Nothobranchius furzeri: one gene and its partner. The protein of the gene in region 2 interacts with the protein of the main gene of each other region in a pairwise test. Links are inferred from orthologs where the notes say so. Each region holds a gene or a part of one and is shown on either strand. Other genes may lie near its edges.

Region 1 (4,204 bases), on a different chromosome or scaffold from region 2:
TGCAGGCTGTCCTCCTTGTTTGCATGTCTGCAGCCATTTGGGGAGTTGTGTGGAGAAAACGTGAGCTTGGTGCTACAACAACCATTCTGTCCCGCTCTGCAACAAACCATCCAGTTTAGAAAAGAACCTGAAAAACGTCAAATGTGAACTTGTAATGAGTCTCGCTGCATTCATCACACTGTTAGGCTGACTTTGTGTGTTAGCTCTCAAGCAAACCTAACAGGACAGACTAGTTATCGTAGCGCTAAGTTGTCATTTTGATCATAAACTCCCCTAAACAGCTGTTCTGTTGGTGGCAGCGCAGGCTACACTTAGCGAGGGAAGACGGTTTGCTGCTAAATGAGATGGCCAATCAGAGGTGAGAAAGTTGGGATCTTCCTTGGACATCCTACTTTCCCAATATCTGCGAGCAGTCCGGACACTCTGAAGTTGCCAGCGTGGTATTCCGGCCACGAGGGCCGAGTGGTGTTTGGTTAACCCTGTAAAGGGTCATTTTAGCACATCCTGGCTCAAGAAAAGGATTTAAAACAGGAACATGACAGTTTTAAACCCCCTCCAGGGATGCTGTGAGATCATCTCTTGCTGGTCAGTCTTTCATCCATAAGCACTGATCCTCTATTAATGAATGATTAGTGATTCTGTCTCACTCGTGTGCGTTTGTAGGAAACTCCGCCTGTCGGCCGTAGGACTGATGACTTCCACTCATCTCCCCTCTGACCCAGCGTCCACACACATCCGTTACATGTTGGCTCTCACCTCCATCATCACACAAAACACCACAGAAACATAAAAATCCATAGGTGTGAAGGGAATGTTCAGAAAGATTCTTCTCATTTTCCCCCGTTTGGTGCTGAAGCTCCAGCTCCTGCAGCCACGGAGGCAGAAGAACCAATCAGAAACCGTGATGCAACACCTCTGCAACACGCTCCTTTGTGTCCGACTAAAGTCTGATGCACCTTGTTTGATTCTACAATAACCTTTTAGAGGATGTTTCATGAACAGGTCATTTGCAGATTTTCTTTTCCATTCACAGGATTTTACCTATGACCTTTAACCCCAGAGGTCACAGTGGACAGCTATTCAGAACTTAGAAAATGCAAGGATGTAATAACCTACGTAGCAGTGGTGCATGGTGCTTTTATCTCCATCCTAGAGCCCAATAGGACCAGAACCTCGTGACTACAGCGGGCCACCAAAGCTTCTGATAATAATAATAATAATAATAATAATAATAATAATAATAATAATAATAATAATAATAATAATTGTTGTTATCAGAACAACGATCCAGGCCATGCTCCCGTGGAGCTGCGGGTTAAAGCCTGAGTCACTGCGGCTCCATCCGACCCCTCCCCCAAAACCCTGATTCCTCACAATAAACAGGAGAGATGCTCGGAACGGGAGCGCGTGCAGAACAAAGGGCTCCGTGGGTGACACTGCGCATGTCTGCAGCCTCCACGCACGTGCTGTGAAGCCGTGCGGAGTCAGTGAAGATGTGATGTTTACGTCAGCTATCTTTTTAAACAACAACGATTAGAAACGTCCTCATCAGGCTCCGGGGGGAGGACCGGGACCGCGGGGGTGGGGGGTGCGGGCCCCCTTACCCCCCCCCCCCCCCTTCCGTTGCATCAGCATTGTGGGAGACAAAGGATGCTGCGGGATGCTGAGGGTGTCACCGCTCCTCAGACTGCTGCCTCACTGCAGCATCACTCCTCTTCATCATCTCAGATGAGAGGAAGATCAGATAGCAGAATGCTGCCTTCACGTCATTAGCATGGCATCTCTCACGCGCGAGCGTGCACGCAGCTCCTCATTCTGTGATGTAGTGAACAAAGACGGCAGCAGCTACAATTAGTCTGAGCGGAGGGAACATCATTCATCCTGAATAAATCAAAATCTGCACTGCCACACACACACACGCACACACACACACACACACACACACACACACACACACACACGCACACGCACACGCACACGCACACACACACACACACACACACACACACACACACACACACACACACACCGTCCACCTTGGGGTGGGGGTGGGGGTGACTAAGCCTCACTGCAGCATCACTCACATGACGCCGCTGTTTGACTCGCAGCTGATTTACACCGACGCTCACGTACGGATCTGTGACGGAACCGACCTGGACCATCGGAACCAACCCAGCTTACGCAGCAAATATGGAGCCGTGTGTGTGTGTGTGTGTGTGTGTGTGTGTGTGTGCTCCCACCCAGAGTAGAACATGAAGCCAAAACAAAGAGGAGAATGGTGCAGTCTGAACAAAACAGACTGTGGTTAATGCCTGAGTGATGCGTTTAAAGACCGAGTGATGCGTTTAAAGACCGCGCTGTTCGGGATTCCTGCAGCACCGAAACCTGAACAAACTGAGGAAAAGGCAGCGCGCGCCGCGTTGACTCAAAGCACAACAGGATGTGGTGGAGTTGTGTTTCACTCCTGAACCCGCGTTCACACCCCTACACACCCACGCGCGCGCGCACACACACTCAGTAATATAGTAATATTCGCACCAAGCGTGCGGTTTCTCACTCGTGCTTCTCTCTCTATCTGACTCCTTCCAGAACCAGCGGGGACCTGGTGGTTCGGTCCAGCCGCGGTTCTGCTCCAGTTTGACAGTAAAACTGGGACACGGCGGACCCAGGCGGGTCCCGGTGTGGGCAGTGGCCGCGCAGGCTGCTTACCTTCTGCTTTCTGGTTCGTGTGTTCCAGCCCGTCGGTCCAACAGAACTTCTTTCACATGATGACCCGCTCCGCCGTCTCCTCGGAGCCTCTCGGCGCATACAGACCAATCACGTCCCGGATTATTCTTCTCGCTTTTAACGGTATAAAAATACAAAACAGCGTGTGTCATGAACGTGCGCGAGCGCGCGCGTGTGGATGTGTGTGAGTGTGCGCCGTGCTCCCGCGCGGCGTGCCGCTCCGTCTCCGTTGTTTGTTACACTCGACTGGAACGCCTACTCTCAGTCGCTACATTGTTGACATTCGGCCGCTGACGTCACCTCATTCCCTCATTCACAACATCGTAGGCGCGCGCTGCCTTGCGTTACAGTAGGGGGGAGGCGCGCGTGTGCGCCGCGGAATTGGCGCAGCGGAGCTTCGAGAATGGGACCGCAGACCCGTTAGCTCAAATCCCTCCCCCCTCCCCACAGATCCTCCCGGTGCTCCTCCCCGGTGCTCGCGGCGGGACCGCGATGACACGAGGCACTTTTCACAACCTGAGAGGAGAAGTGGAGACGAGGCGAGAATGAGCTTCATTTTTCTGAATCAGAGCTCAACGATGAAAACTAGTACTACTATAGTACTACTAGCAGCACCAAGGAGAATTATACTAGTACTAGCACCATTGCACTTGCACATTCCTGTTTTTGGCATGCACGGTATTCAGGAAAACTGGGTTTTAATTTACGATCTTCTGGATTTTGATTAATATAAGAAATGTCTGCACTTGATTTTTCTTTTATTTATTTTTCTAATTTTTTATTCTCCCTGTGTTTTATTTATTTTTGCTGTTTGTTTTGGGAATTTTGTTGTATTTCCTTTTTATCTTTTATCTGTGTTCGACATGTTTGTATAAACTTTTTTTTTACCTGTTTAATTAACTAACATTTTTAGTGTACAGCGCCTTGTTTGGTTGTAATGCCTTGTGAATGCGCTCTATAAATAACATTGGATTGGATTGGAAAGTACAAAATGTTCAAAAACGTAGTTTTTTTAAAAATAAAATGTTCATCAAACTAAATTTCTGCCTCAAAACATTGGCAGTAAAAACAATAACATTTATTATTATCATTATTATTGTTGTTGTTAATATTATTAGTATTAAAGAAAGAAAGAAAACAATATTTTCTGTTGTGCCTCTCAAGATAAAAATCAGGAGGTGCTTCACAAAAACAAAACAAATTAAAGTATAAAAAAGATTTCAATAAATGTTTAAAAATATGTTTAAAATGAGAAAAAAATAAAAATTGTGATTTAAAAATGTAGGAAAGGAAGGGAGAAAATAAATAAATAGGAAAGAGGGAAACCAGTGGAATGAGGAGAGAGAGGTGATGAAGGTCACACCAAAGCCTGAACAAGTGAGTCTTCAGCTGCTTTTTAAAGGAGACCACTGAGTCCTCTGATCTCAGGCTCAGGGGGAGAGAGGTCCAGAGTCTGGGGGGCCATGATGATATTATT
Region 2 (4,076 bases):
TAACCTAATCATCTGAATCAACTAATTAACTCAAAACACCTGCAAAAGATTCCTGAGGCTTTTAAAAACTCCCAGCCTGGTTCATTACTCAAGGAAAAAGTGTGGCAGAAAACGCTGCACAACGAGAAAAGGTGACCGGACCCTGAGGAAGATTGTGGAGAAGGACAGATTCCAGACCTTGGGAGACCTGCAGAAGCAGTGGACTGAGTCTGGAGTAGAAACATCCAGAGCCACCGTGTACAGGCATGTGCAGGAAATGGGCTACAGGTGCCACATTCCCCAGGTCAAGCCACTTTTGAACCAGAAACAGTGGCAAAGCGCCTGACCTGGGCTACAGAGAAGCAGCACTGAATTGTTGCTCAGTGGTCCAAAGTACTTTTTTCAGATGAAAGCAAATTTTGCATGTCATTCGGAAATCACGGTGCCAGAGTATGGAGGAAGACTGGGCAGAGGGAAATGCCAAAATGCCTGAAGTCCAGTGTCAAGTACCCACAGTCAGTGATGGTCTGGGGTGCCATGTCAGCTGCTGGTGTTGGTCCACTGTGCTTTATCAAGGGCAGGGTCAATGCAGCTAGCTATCAGAAGATTTTGGAGCACTTCATGCTTCCATCTGCTGAAAAGCTTTATGGAGATGAAGATTTCATTTTTCAGCACAACCTGGCACCTGCTCACAGTGCCAAAACCACTGGTGAATGGTTAACTGACCATGGTATTACTGTGCTCAATTGGTCTGCCAACTCTCCTGACCTGAACCCCATAGAGATTCTGTAGGATATTGTGAAGAAAGTTGAGAGACTCAAGACCCAACACTCTGGATGAGCTTAAGGCCACTATCGAAGCATCCTGGGCCTCCATAACACCTCAGCAGTGCCACAGGCTGATTGCCTCCATGCCACGCCGCATTGAAGTAGTCATTTCTGCAAAAGGATTCCCGACCAAGTATTGAGTGCATAACTGAACATATTATCTGAAAGTTGACTTTTTTTGTATTAAAACACTTTTCTTTTATTGGTCGGATGAAATTTTTTAGATGCTAATATGCTAATTTTTTAGATAGGAATTTTGGGTTTTCATGAGCTGTATGCCAAAATCATCAATATTAGAAACAATAAAAGGCTTGAACTACTTCAGTTTTGTGCAATGAATCTAATATATATGAAAGTCTAATATTTATCAGTACATTACTGAAAATAATGAACTTCATCACAATATGCTAATTTTTTGAGAAGGACCTGTAGAATCTCCCAATGAGACACTGAAGGTTCTGTCAGCCACGTGCGACACAAACCAATCCAGCGCGACCCTGCAAACACCCACAAAGTCTTCCATCCTAGAAATCAGGAGAGACTGATCAACAGTATCGAATGCAGCCGATAGGTCCAACAATATCAAAATAAAGTCCCCAGAATCAGTTGCCAATAAATGTAATTAAAAACCCAGAGCATTGCAGATTCTGTACTGTGGACTGGCTTAAAACCAGACTGGAATTTTTCTAAATGTAATTTCCCATCAAATACTGGACTAATTCCACATCTGCGTTCTTTTTGTGCATATAAAGGGCCATCATCTTTACTTGTTAGCTGCAGAGAAAGACAGAGATGGGCAGTACGCTTTATCACAAAGCCAAGCTTCTGATGCAAATATCATAATGTCACACACAGGAAGACAAAAGCAGCTGTCAAGTCGATGACAAACTGTTAAATTGTCATTGTCATATGAAAGGAAGCACACTGTTCAGCAAAAACTGAAGGCATGTGAACTGCTTGTCAGGTCATGTGCTTGTTTTATTCTTTACATTCAGGAATTAGCCTATACATGACAAAATGTGACCATCCAGTCATCGCGTGAGTCAAATCATGGCAATTTTACAATCGTTGTTCTCGCGCGCACGCACGCACGCACACACACGCACACACACGCACACACACACGCACAATCAGTCGTGTCTGTTTATCGTGACAGCGCTGCAACAAAACACACATTCTCAGCTAAATGTTGATCATCCAATAGACATATGGGCATGGCGGTCTTGACAAAAGAACTATTTCGATCCATCCTCCATATTAACGGAGGGTTGGAGATGAGCATCGACCCTTATCAGGCGAGCAGACCTTTGTCCGGTGGTGCCATATTTCGGGGTGGGTTCTCAGAATGTCTAAATCCGTCACTGTGATGATGCAGCATGATAAAAAAAAAAATAATAATACATATCGCTTTTTGGGGGCTTTGAAATTCAACATCTCTCTCGGGCTCACCGGCTGTGACATCCCCCCCCCCCCCCCAAAAAAAAATATGTTTGACTACCATTGTCAGGTTTTAACTAAATGAAAAGTCACTTAGGTTAAAAGCAATTCAACATGAACTGGTCGAAAAGCTATTTTCAGGACGATCAAATCAAAGCATTCACATAAACGAAACAATGTTCGATTTTAACAATCCATGCATGTTCGTCTTGGATCAGAAGAAAGAACATCAGCAACAACCAACCTGGTCTTGTTAAGCCGCTGGCTCGACTCGCGGTGATGAAGCAGCCTGTTCGACCAACAGCAAGATGCTCATGAGTTGACAAGCCACCGAAAAAAAAGAAGAAATAAAAATAAGGCTGACAAAACAGACGGCAGCACACCGACGTCTCGCAGAAGCCGCCTGCAGAGGTTTACATGCTTGTTGACATTCCACGACTCAACCTCTCGGTGCCTGATACTTGTCAAAGTGGAAAACTCCACGCCTGCAAAAAACACCAAGTGAGGACATCCCCATGCTCTACCTGCCTACTGTAAACCGCGGCAACAAGCAATTCCTCGAAATAGGAAATCACCTCCGGGACGCGGGATGGTGATACCCACATCAAAAAAACTGTTTCTCAACGTTTTACACGCAGCTGCAGCAGCTCGCCTATACTTGGCTGTAGCTTGTAGCATGGGGCGGAGTGGCCAGAGGCACGACAGCACCATACCATATAAGGAAGTCACTTCTGCGTCACGGGTCCCCGGAAGAATGAAAACATGAATGCAAGTCAATGGGGCTAAAAACGCTGTTTTCTAATTCTGCTTGTTTTGTGCCATGGATTTCACTTATGATGTCCGGGAATTTTAAAGAGCAAGTCATCCCCAAATAAACATTTTTTTTTGCTGCTAAACTAAATAAATGAGTGTCTAATCGTGCTGCAGACACGTTTCGTCAATAATTTGGCACTTCAGTGCATCTTAGTTAAAATTTAAATATTCTGCCTAAAACTGGCAGTGTTGTGCCGTTGTCAGGTAAAAACTCTGCACTGTATTCTAATTTAAATCTGCCACTGCTATTGGCTAAGAAGTATGCTATGACGTAAACTGGTACATTATGATGTCACATTGCTGTCGTGAGCCTGAGTGCGTGTGTATTTGTTAGCGGCTTCGCCCTCTCGGTCTGCCAGGCAACAGTATGTGTTGCATTTTTCAAACATGAAGTGGGAGTGGAGTTAGACTCTGGTAGGGGTTGACTTGCTCTTTAAAGACACATTTTGATACCAAGAGCGTGCGTATTTAGTGTTATTAGTGTTACACTTGGTTATGACGTTCGGTTATGTTAAGTTTTGAGTTAAACTTTACAGTCTGGTATACTGACCTGCAGATATAGCAGAGTATCCTCCTTGCAGATATCACCTGGCCAGTAATGTCTGCCTTTACAACATGATGTGACATAGCAGATGAGTGCCATGTTAAAGACTGTATACTACAGAAAATATTTCCAGAGACTTATCTTCCAAACCTACCTCCATACCAGCTGAGGAATCAGCCGCTCCAGAGTTTTTTGCTTTGTTGGGACGACATTTATTTTGTGGGGGAGAGTGTGGGGAACCAGTTAATGTTAAAGGCTAGAGAACATGACCCCCATTTGAATATTTTGTGTAATTATTTTGTTTGTGCAATTGTACTGTTTATGTGAGGCTAAGTTTGGTCACAGTCCAGCTCAAGTTGTGTTAGGGCAGCAGTAGCTCAACAGGTTGAGCGGGTTGTCCAGTAATCGGAAGGTTGCAGAGGATTCTGCTGTTGTGTCCTTGGGCAAGACACTTAACCCACCTTGCCTGCTGGTGG

What was found. The genes of interacting proteins can lie anywhere in the genome.
Region 1: the proteins of mafga (region 2) and bach2b interact in binary tests that used the Homo sapiens proteins (3 or more experiments, as listed by UniProt). The link is inferred for Nothobranchius furzeri from reciprocal best matches to the Homo sapiens genes MAFG and BACH2.

The regions. Positions count from the first base shown.
Region 1 is NC_091743.1:91,361,722-91,365,925, reverse strand, and holds the start of bach2b (transcription regulator protein BACH2), read right to left. Parts: upstream 2,930-4,204; 5' UTR 2,710-2,929; intron 1-2,709. UniProt on the Homo sapiens protein: Transcriptional regulator that acts as a repressor or activator. Binds to Maf recognition elements (MARE). Plays an important role in coordinating transcription activation and repression by MAFK.
Region 2 is NC_091752.1:59,016,601-59,020,676, reverse strand, and holds the start of mafga (v-maf avian musculoaponeurotic fibrosarcoma oncogene homolog Ga), read right to left. Parts: upstream 2,927-4,076; 5' UTR 2,488-2,926; intron 1-2,487. UniProt on the Homo sapiens protein: Since they lack a putative transactivation domain, the small Mafs behave as transcriptional repressors when they dimerize among themselves.